Linked DNA regions of Arabidopsis thaliana. The protein of the gene in region 1 purifies or fractionates together with the protein of each later gene. This does not show direct contact. Each region holds a gene or a part of one and is shown on either strand. Other genes may lie near its edges.

Region 1 (3,742 bases):
CATTTATTTGTTTTTTGTAATTCTTTCACTTTGAATGAAATTATTTATTTGATCACTATTTTCTCCCATTTTTGATTAACTTTATTTGATCAAATTTTGTGAGAAAATTGTTAGTGATCAATTTTTGTAATTCTACACACAAAGATAAACTTTTTAGAGAAAGACATGATGAAGGTAGGAAACATATATTTATATATTTATGTAAAATACAGTATATAATCCAACAAGAAATAGGAGAAAGGAAGCTATTTAATGGGTTGGAGAAGGTTGCAATTGCAGAGGAATAGCAACAGAAACGGTAAGAGACTGTCTTTGTGCCTGTCTCTACCTTCAGACATGCTCACCATGTTTTTTTCAGGTACATTACATTGTTGTAGAATTACCTTATGCAATTTCCTATTTGGAACCTTGCCAAAAGCTAGAGTTTACTTCTAAGTACCTCTGCTGATTTCCTACAGTTTCATGTGTTCAGAAAACTAAACACAATGTAATGTTTCAGACAATGATCTTGTCTTGTGGTTGAATCAGTTTTTTTTTTTTTTTTTTTTTTTTTTTTTTTTCTGTAGAAACTTTTTTACGTTTTAGCTACTACTCACTTGTACATTTTTTATATCGTTGGTGGATCTTATATTTTTTAAATGTTGTCCATCTTGTCCGTTAATTAGGTGCAGTATGATTTAAAGTGACGGTATAGCGTTATGGATCTTATTACTTCTGCAGAGATGCTAAAATTGATGAACAATATGCTTTTAGAATAAGTGGTAATAGCTTAGTGATTTAGACATATTACCCTGAATTAAGGGATGGATATGGGTATTGGAATCTTATTCAACTAATAAGGTAATGATGTGAAAGTTTAGCTCTGAGTTTTTATGCAGCTGGAAGCATCTCATTGGTGTTGGAACTAAGCTTTTCATTGCAAGTTGCAGATATATTTAGCTTACACAATGGCAAAAAAACAAAATTAATGTAATTAAAAACAAAATTTTCTCTTTAAGAATTGCTATACAATTTACAACTCCTCTCTTCTGACAGTTTTCTCTTCTTATAGTGCCTTTCAAGAACTCGTTTGGCCTCAGAACTGGGAAAGTTAGCAAGCTTATAGTAATGTGGTGCAACATCTACAAGCCATTCACCGCGAATATGTGTGACGGTTCGGATGAAATTTCGGCTAGTGAAAACGTATTCGTTGTAAACTACCCACTCTGGTTTGTGATCCAAGCAATTGGAAGGATGCAAGTGCACCACTTGGTCATCCTTATCTCTGAAAGTCAAGTAGTGGCCAGTGCGTTCTAGGTGAGCCACTTGCATGAAATAACCTGCAAGCAAGGCCTTTCTTATGTTGACGTAGTAGTCCCTGCTGTTGAAATCAGGGCTACACAACTTAATCTGAAACCTCAACATGATCCGGACCAACTGCTCTCTAACACTAACTGCAGACTTCATTGCTCTGTAGTTGATGAACTTTGTACAGCACCAATTTGGGTCTTGGTTGTTTTGCAAGAAAGCATGGAACAAATTCAAAAGTGTGAGATGATCTCCATCAATGTGTGCAAAGCTAGATTTGGCTTCATCTGCTGCTTTTTGAGCTTCTCCTCTTGGCCTGATGAAACAATTTGGTACTGATAACATCGCAGAAATCGAAAGAATCTCGTTTGAGCAGTTGAATTGAGGACTGACTATGAGCATCTTTGCCATCTGTGGGTCTAAAGGAAACTCACTCATCATCTCACCTGTCTTTGTCAAGTTACAGTCATCATCAAGTGCTCCCAAATGATACAAATCGTCCAAGGCCCGAGCGAGGGTATCAGGAGCAGGAGAATCTATAAGATCGAAGCGTACCAAGTTTTTCACACTAAGTCCTTTCAAGGTCAGAACTGTGTTTGCAAGGTTTGTCATTGTCATTTGCAAGGAGTAATATAATGTTTGATGGTCAAAAATTATATTACTCCATGAATTTATGAACCTTCTGACAGAAAGAGAGCTTTTCTAAAGGGTATTTATGTCTTTTTACAGGCTTGCTTCGAGTGGATAATGTGAGAAAAGAGCAAAACACAAAAATGAAAAAACCTTCTTCTCTTGTAACTCGCACAACCTTATCGAGTGAAAGAAGATTGGGTCAGTAGTGAAAAATGGCGTCGATTGCAGCTTCTTCTACCTTTCACTCGTTTTGCAGAACCAAAAGCCCTAATCTTTCTTCGACCCACCTTCTTCCTTTGTCGAAAAACCTCAACTTTCGGACCAGAGCTATCGGAAATAGCCGCAATTGCAGTTTTGCTGGGTTTATAAAACAAAATCGCCTTGGATTGAGGAAGCTTTCGTCTATTGGAGAAGGAGGAGAAGGTGTCGCTGTCGCAGAGGAGCAACCGCAAGAGACTGTCTCTGTTCCTGTCTCTCCTTCAGACATGCTCACCATGTTTTTCCAGGTACATCACTCTCTGTCCAGTGAATTTGTGTGATTATCATCCTCATTCTCCACTTATGGCTTTTTAATAGATATAGTAGGATTGATTCATGGTTGTATTATAAGGTCTTAGAAATGAGGTTTGCAAAATTGTATTGATACTGTTTTGAAGATACTATGAGCATTACTCTGTTGCAATTTCATGTGGCCTCAAATTGAGTCTGAACATTGTTGGATTTTTTGCTTGATTATGAAGGCTGATGGAACTTTGAACGAAGCAGCTATTCCTAATGTGACAAGGGCCTTACAGGTAATACTTTGCTTTGTAATCTCTCCTTGAACTAGCAAATCTGTGTGGAGCTTGACGAGAATCTTTGTGAATGCATCTGGTTCTTGGATTATATAACCCTTTTGGTTACTTGTTTCAATTCAATTTAATCTTTGTAGTTGTGTTAAACTTGGAATTTGGGTGTTCACTTTACTCTTTCCACGCTCTAAATCTTCCTTAGTACCTATAGCTTACAAAAACAGTGAATATAAAGGTTCCAATTGATACTTGTTTTGTTCTTTCAGGATATTGATGGAGTTTCCAATTTAAAGGTTCAGGTTTCTGAAGGTGTTGCCGTCGTTGAGGTATGTTTTACATCCAACATTGCCTTTACATGTCTCTTCACACCCCTACACAGTACACATATATGTTTAGAGGATATAAATAGATAAGGACAGATGTTGAATATGTTATTAGAGATATAATGGCTGGCACACCCTTAGAAGGACTGGACTGGTCAAATATGTCATTTTGTTGTACATTTTGGTGGTTAACCAGGGGATTAGTCTTTGGGGCCGTATAACAAAAGCCTCGAGCCTGACCTTGAATAGTTAAGGCCTTTATATGAACGGTTCTGTTACTGCTCGTAGCAACATCTCTATGTTTGATTGTACAATTGAATCTGGCTTATGTTGTGATCAATGTATGTGAAGCTTTTGAAGCAAACAACGGTTCAAGCAACAGGAGTGGCGTCAAACTTGGTGGAGACTATACAAGGAGCTGGATTTAAGTTACAGACTTTGAATCTGAGTTTTGAAGATGACGATGAGGTTCTTGTCTAGTGAAATCATCCTTTTCCTCCATTTTGTGATTAAAGAAACTCATAATGTTCAATTCTAGGGATAATTTCTTTCATTTGTTCCTCTAAAGAAAACAAATGTGGTAACTTTTTTTAGAAAGTGGGAATTAATGTTTTCTTTGTTGAAATAAAAGAGAAATGGAAAATATCTATATTGATTAGTGGGTCATATACATATGGGTTCCCACAAAGCATGGAGGTTGGCATTTTT
Region 2 (6,702 bases), on another chromosome or scaffold:
ATTTGGACAAACACATCAGCTAACATCAATGGAAGCAGATGCAGAATCTAAAATAATGTGTTGAGCTTTACTAAAAAACCAAAGAATTCTCTCCCAAACCCATAATTGATAATTCAATTCACTACTATCAAAACATGTGAGCCTATAAGGGGGATGAGATCAACCAATACTTGATAATTCAATGCAAACACCAACCATATCAGTCATACGGTGAGCATAAAACTGACCAGAGGGGACGAGACTCGAGAGTGGAGGGAGACAGAGAAGCGTGCATCCGCCTTCGTAGAGAGAGTTTGGGGTTTTGTGTTTTCACTTTTCACATTAAATGGGTAAGTTTTGGGCTGTCTTTTATTTTCCACTTTTGGGCTTTAAGATTTAAGTTTCCACTATGGAAACCAATCAAAGGCTTCTACATGGGCTTTGTTGTTTACTAGCACAACATTGCACCTTTAACTTCAGACTTATCATGCACTGATGTGAGATATTTAAGCCGTTAACGTTGACAATAGTTGCTGGATTTCTTCCCACAATACATGTCTCATCAGTCATCACATCCTTTTCCATTACTGTGGAAGAAAATCCAATGATACCAGTCAAAATAAACGCCTACATCAACAGTCTAATACTTCCCATTCTACTGAAGTACTCAGGGTTTAAAGATTGATAGTGTATACATAAACCAGTCTATATACTATTAAAGATAGTATCTAATTTGGGTAAAATAATGATCCAAGGTTTGGATAGTGACTCTAATAGAAGGTTCTTTTTAGATTTTGGCTAAGATACTTGGTGCAACCCGAATAACAGTTTAAGATGCGTGTTGAATATAGCATACCCTTCTTTGAGACGCATGACACGGTCATCGGCTGAGAGGTTGTGTATTAAGATACAAATAAATTAGAAAAACACACACTTCTTTTTAAGATATTTTTTGGAAATGGAAACTCAAAAGTCAAATGTGTATTTTACTACAAAATTTCAAAAGTTGCAGAATTTGAAGACTTTTTACCAAAAGCTCTTCCCAAAACTCATACAATATGCGTTTTTTTACCAAGGTTTTTCATTATGATGAATCACTAGCAACAACAGGCTCTCTCTCTATCCTTAAAAAAGAGGTTCAAGAATCCCCTTTTTGAGTTCTAATCTCATTCCTCCTCAATCCAAGATTAAACTGGTCACTTTTACTCTTAAAACCAGATGGAGTCAGTTTGTTTCCAGTGCTCTATTCCTCCTCCTGCTCATATATCTGCATGTATGCTTCCGATAGTTCTACCATCTGGGGAAGTGTCTCTGCAACATGAAGATCCTGCATCTCGTACCTGCAATGGACATTATCCCCCAAATGAATTTATGTCTTTCTTATGCACAGATCTAGATCATGCATTTGTGAACATGAAACACAATAATAGTTAATGATTGAGAAAGCTTACCATAGTTCTTGTGACTTGCGCTGCACAAAGACTCTGAAGTATCCGTCCTCAGGCTTACCATCATGTACAATGTTAGCGATTAGATTATACTTTGAACACACATTCTCGCCTTCTGGTGCTCTAGGCAATGATGGTATGTAATCCCTCAGCTCCATGTCCTTCACTGGGAAGTTAACTGTGGCATAGGAAAAAATTGGCATTAGGGATCCTTATACAACATGAACGTCACAAAAATTCCAAATAGACTCACCCAAGGTAGGGTTCTTCTCTTTGAAGAAGTTATTCTTCTTGAACCGAACCATATGGAACATCAAGTAACGAGGAGATTTGATTACACGGTATCTCATTCTGGCCAGCTTAGGCCGAACCACCTCTGTCACAGTTTCTCCATCAAACTTCTTCAATAAATCAAATAGAGCAACCTGACCCAAACATCAAAGAAATTAGTTTCTGCTAACCTCACTTTGCAAACTAAACACTCTAAGACGCATATACGAGGTAGCAAGCCATAAAGGCTACAGGAGCTCCAAACAACCAAGGACTCAGAGAATTCTACACTTTCCCAAGTCATAAACTAGATTCGAAAAAGACAGTTTACTCCAGGACAGTAAATTTGCAATGGCACTATTTAAGAATCCCTTTATTGTATCTCAACCAAATGTGACATTATTATATTGAGAATTATAAGTTTTCTAGCACTTCACGTTATCTTATTGATCAAAATGTTCCCCTTACTGAAATGCATTTTTCAAATGGCACAGAGTAGCAAGACGTTCAAGATTTGAAATAGCCATATACCTGCGGAATAATGTTTTTCTCCATGACATCTTTGAAAAGAGGAGGCGGTGGCAAATCTAGACCGAGCATCAGAAAAGACATCCTGGAGATTTCTTTGTTTTCATTGCCTTGAAACTCTTTCACAACCTCCAACTCACCCTATAATGGTTAGAAGGTTACATGAAGATGCAGCTTTTTGTAAGCAATTATATCAAACTGCATTTAGGTTGACATGTCAAAGGACTGACACATACCTGGAAGCACTTGTGGATGATACTGCTGGCGTCCTTTGAAGTTCTAAGATCCATGTGCAAAGTGTTGAGGAGCCACGACATAAACTCTACTGGATCTGATTGTTGGCCAATCCTAAACCGTTTCTTGCTGGCTTTCATGACAGCTTGCAAGAATTCATGTGGACTCACCTGTTGATGCAAGGTGACTTAAATTAGCGAGGTCCTCAACAGGTGAGGGCATAACAAAAACTAAAAGTGAGAGGCATAAATTGAGTCAGACTTGTCCTTTAAAGTTTCGAGCATGCCAAATCTTGCGAGTTAGTTCCCCAAAACGGTGAACAAGAGGAGACTTGCAGTGCTGATAATTTTCAGGAATGAGGAAGAAATTCCTTAGAGGAGTAACTCTCATCAACGACTGGATTGTAACATTCACAAACTCTGTCTTTTGTATGTTGTTCAACCCCACCTACATATTTACAAGCTTAACCTTTAGGAGACATTAATTTCAAGATCAAGTGTAATCAAAGAGAAAGGATTACCATTCCTGGAAGATAGTCGGAGCCATCAAGAGCCCTAGACCACTGCCTATTCTTGTCAAGCTCGTTTACTTGTGCTCTACTAAACCTGTAAATGGATAACACCGAAGCCTTCATAAAAAGGAACTGTAAAATCAAAGAAAATTTGACAAGACATGAAAGAAGAGTAATATGTTCAAGCTATCAAGAATAAAAATATAAATAGATGGTAGATGATACAGAGAACTAGCAAGAAGAAACTGATTGAGATAATAGTCAAAGCAATTTTGTTGTTGTTAACTACGTGCAAAGGCTCACATGTTCACAAATCAATACACAAAATGCAGTAAGAACTATGAAGTAGTAGTCACAAGATCTAATATACCTTGGGTTTAAAACATGGCGAATGTCATCCAAAGAAGGGTCATTGATCTCGTAACTATCAGGAAGACAATAAACCTTCTCTGTCAGAAGATTGATGTAAACGTGGTGTCCTGCTTCCAAGCTATGTGTATAAGCATGAGACTTCTGGCTTCTTCCTTGGAAGTACTTCCCACAAACAAGACACGCATACACATTCAGATTTGACAAGGACACAGAGCAAAACCTCTCAAAATCAAAATCCAACACCTGAAATTCAACATACAACATGAGTTTAGATACTCAACACCAAAAACGATTATACAATGAAGACAGCAGAAACATAACCATTGATCAAAGATTACAATCAAGAAATTAATTACCTGACGATTAACGGTATCAAGATAAGGACAATCACGGCGAACTTCAACATGGCGTGAATGCTTTCCCTTACCCTTCGAGACATCATCATCTTCGTCGTCATCGACCTCTTCTTGAGCTTCTCCTTTCACTTTGTTACCATTTCCCTCCCCTTTCGCAACTCCATTACCACGAGCTTGCGATTTCTTCTGCTCGTTCTCCTCTTCCTCATCATCATCATCGTAAGTATTAGCCAACGGCAGAAGAGGATTGTTGAAACCTAGTGGTGGAGGTGGTGAATCAGACCGTTCCATCACTCTCTTCCTCTTCACTTCTCTCTCTTCCTCAGAAACACCATTCTTAACTTCTCTTTCACCTTTCATTCTCAAAATTTTCCTTATGCTACAGCTTGCTTCAAAAACCCTAGAAGTCTAGAACACAAAATCCCAGCGTTTCACAAAGATCCTCAACCAAAGAAGCAATGATTCTTCCAAACAAACGCCCTAGAATTCAAATCAGAAGAGATCTGATAGACCGTTGATTCTATCCATCCTTTTGCCAAATCCTAATAAACCTTTCAGGCGTGATCAATCTGAATAAGAGATCTCCAGCATCAACAACACCAAAGAAGATAATCACACACTGCAAACAAAACAAAAAAGCCACTGTGAGATAAGTAAACATGAGTAAAACTGAAAAGATACTTCCATCAGAAAAAGAATGAAACTTGGACAAACCAACCAGCTGAAATCAATGCAGAATCTAAGATAAAGTACACTCCTTTACAAAGAAAGGATGGATCCTAGCTCAGAACCATAATTCTCAATTTCATTACATAACAAAAAAAGAGTGAAATTTGGACAAACCCATCAGCTAACATCAATGAAAGCAGATAGAGAATCTAACATAAAGTGTTGTGCTTTACTAAAAAAACAAAGAATTCAATCCCAAACCCATAATTGATAATTCAATTCATTACTATCAAAACATGTGAGCCTATAAGGGGGATGAGATCAACCAATAATCGATATTAATCGGTCATACGGTGAGCATAAAACTGACCAGAGGGGACGAGACTCGAGAGTGGAGGGAGACAGAGAAGCGTGCATCCGCCTTCGTAGAGAGAGTTTGGGGTTTTGTGTTTTCGCTATTCACAAGCAGAGTGAGAGACCGTAAATTAAATGGGTAAGTTTTGGGCTGTCTTTTATTTTCCACATTTGGGCTTTAAGTTTTAAGTTTCCACTATGGAAACCAATCAAAGGCTTCTACATGGGCTTTGTTGTCATCAGCTTCTCTGCGGCTTTCATGCTTACTTGTTTACTAGCACAACATTGCATGCACCTATTGCAGAGATGCCTAAGGTTTCCTTGGTGGATAAGAATAGTGGATAGGACATAATAATTATTTTAACAGAAAAGAGCATTTACACTTTGGGGCTCTATGTACACAAACATAAACCCCATACAAGGGGCAAAAAAAAAAAACAGAATTAAGAAAGAAAAACAAAAGCTAATAAGGTAAAAGGCAAAGCCTATTTGGTTTTCTTTTTGAACCAATTTGGCTGTCCTCTCATTCCCTCTCTTCTCTTCTCTTCTCTTCCTTCCTTCAGTCTCGTGAGCCTAACTGTTTAAGCATTTTTATATTTGAATATCGGGCAAAAGAAGCATTACATACATATTGGTTTCAGACAGGAATGACATCAGCGTTTTGATTATCGTCGCAGGTTATGATTAAGCCATCTGCGTAGGTTGGGAAGAGGCAGTGCCACCACCGGCACCCACTGGAGACTGCTTCTGCCGGAGGAACTATCATCAGAACGTTGTCGTGCCTTCTTACCATCCCCATCACGCTCACTGTGCTTCCTTCTTTTATGTATCTGTTGCATCACACACAATCAAATATGATTTTAAATCAGTAACAAAGGGATTCTCTTTGACAGCAAAAGTGAAACCAATGAGCTTTCTTGTGTACTAAAAACGATCATTTGTACTAGAAACGGTGACTTTTGGGTCTCATTAGCTTTAGACTTAATTCAAACTTCTAAGCCCTTTAACTTCAGACTTATCATGCACTGATGTGAGATGTTTAAGCCGTTAACGTTGACAATAGTTGCTGGATTTCTTCCTACAATACATGTCTCATCACATCTTTTTCCATTACTGTGACTTTTAATGTGGAAGAATAACCAACGGTACCAGTCAAAGTAAACGCCTACATCAACAGTTTAATACTTCCCATTCTACTAAAGAAATCAGGGTTTAAAAGGTTGTAATTTGGGTAAAATAAGGATCCAAGGTTTGGATAGTGACTCTAATAACGTTATTTTTAGATTTTGGCTAAGATACTTCGTGCAACCCGAAGAACAGTTTAAGATGCGTGTTGAATATAACATACCCTTCTTTGAGACGCATAACACGGTCATCAGCTGAGAGGTTGCGATCTGACAGCCACTTTAAGAAGCTGGGAGATAAATCTTTGTTCTGCGTTGTTACATTAGCCACTGTCGCCGGTTTGACAAAAGGAGAAACTTTTGATCCATATCCTGCTTTTACTAGTGCTCGCAATCCAGATTGGAAATCCGAGATGTAAAAATCCGACACATATTTCTGCCAAAGAAATATAACCACAACAAGAATCATCAAACTTCACCATCTTTTCTTGTCATATAAGATCTGAAAACTTTGACCAAATCACTGAGACAAATGGTCCTTTTGCAAGAGGAGAAAAAGAAACTAACCTCTGCATGTCTAGATCCCCAAGAAAAGCATCGATGTTTTGGGTTTGCGGATTTCCCACCAAAACCTTTGTATTCATACAACTCCGTGGATACATAAACGCATCTTGGTGTTCTTTGGAACGAAGATTCCAAAGGAATGCTTCCACATGTCACAACCTACAAAAACATAACAAAAGTTTTAACATTTCCAGCAAATAAAAGACACACCAGTGACCACACTACCATATCTACATCAACATTGTTAATTCAGACAATATAAATGGTCTGTCCAACGCATTAAGCTAGCTGTT

What was found. The genes of interacting proteins can lie anywhere in the genome.
Region 2: the proteins of AT5G14900 (region 1) and AT4G22285 fractionate together in Arabidopsis thaliana (co-fractionation; one large-scale study listed by BioGRID). This does not show direct contact.

The regions. Positions count from the first base shown.
Region 1 is NC_003076.8:4,821,683-4,825,424, forward strand, and holds AT5G14900 (helicase associated (HA2) domain-containing protein), read right to left. Parts: upstream 1,900-3,742; coding exon 994-1,899; downstream 1-993. Other genes in the region: AT5G14910 (Heavy metal transport/detoxification superfamily protein), read left to right, coding at 2,133-2,426, 2,661-2,714, 2,978-3,037, 3,386-3,514.
Region 2 is NC_003075.7:11,777,841-11,784,542, forward strand, and holds AT4G22285 (Ubiquitin C-terminal hydrolases superfamily protein), read right to left. Parts: upstream 4,856-6,702; 5' UTR 4,738-4,855; intron 4,318-4,737; 5' UTR 4,059-4,317; coding exon 3,699-4,058; intron 3,586-3,698; coding exon 3,341-3,585; intron 3,065-3,340; coding exon 2,980-3,064; intron 2,907-2,979; coding exon 2,721-2,906; intron 2,630-2,720; coding exon 2,462-2,629; intron 2,367-2,461; coding exon 2,229-2,366; intron 1,853-2,228; coding exon 1,681-1,852; intron 1,606-1,680; coding exon 1,431-1,605; intron 1,320-1,430; coding exon 1,223-1,319; 3' UTR 909-1,222; downstream 1-908. Other genes in the region: AT4G22290 (Ubiquitin-specific protease family C19-related protein), read right to left, coding at 5,359-5,551, 6,070-6,281, 6,413-6,568.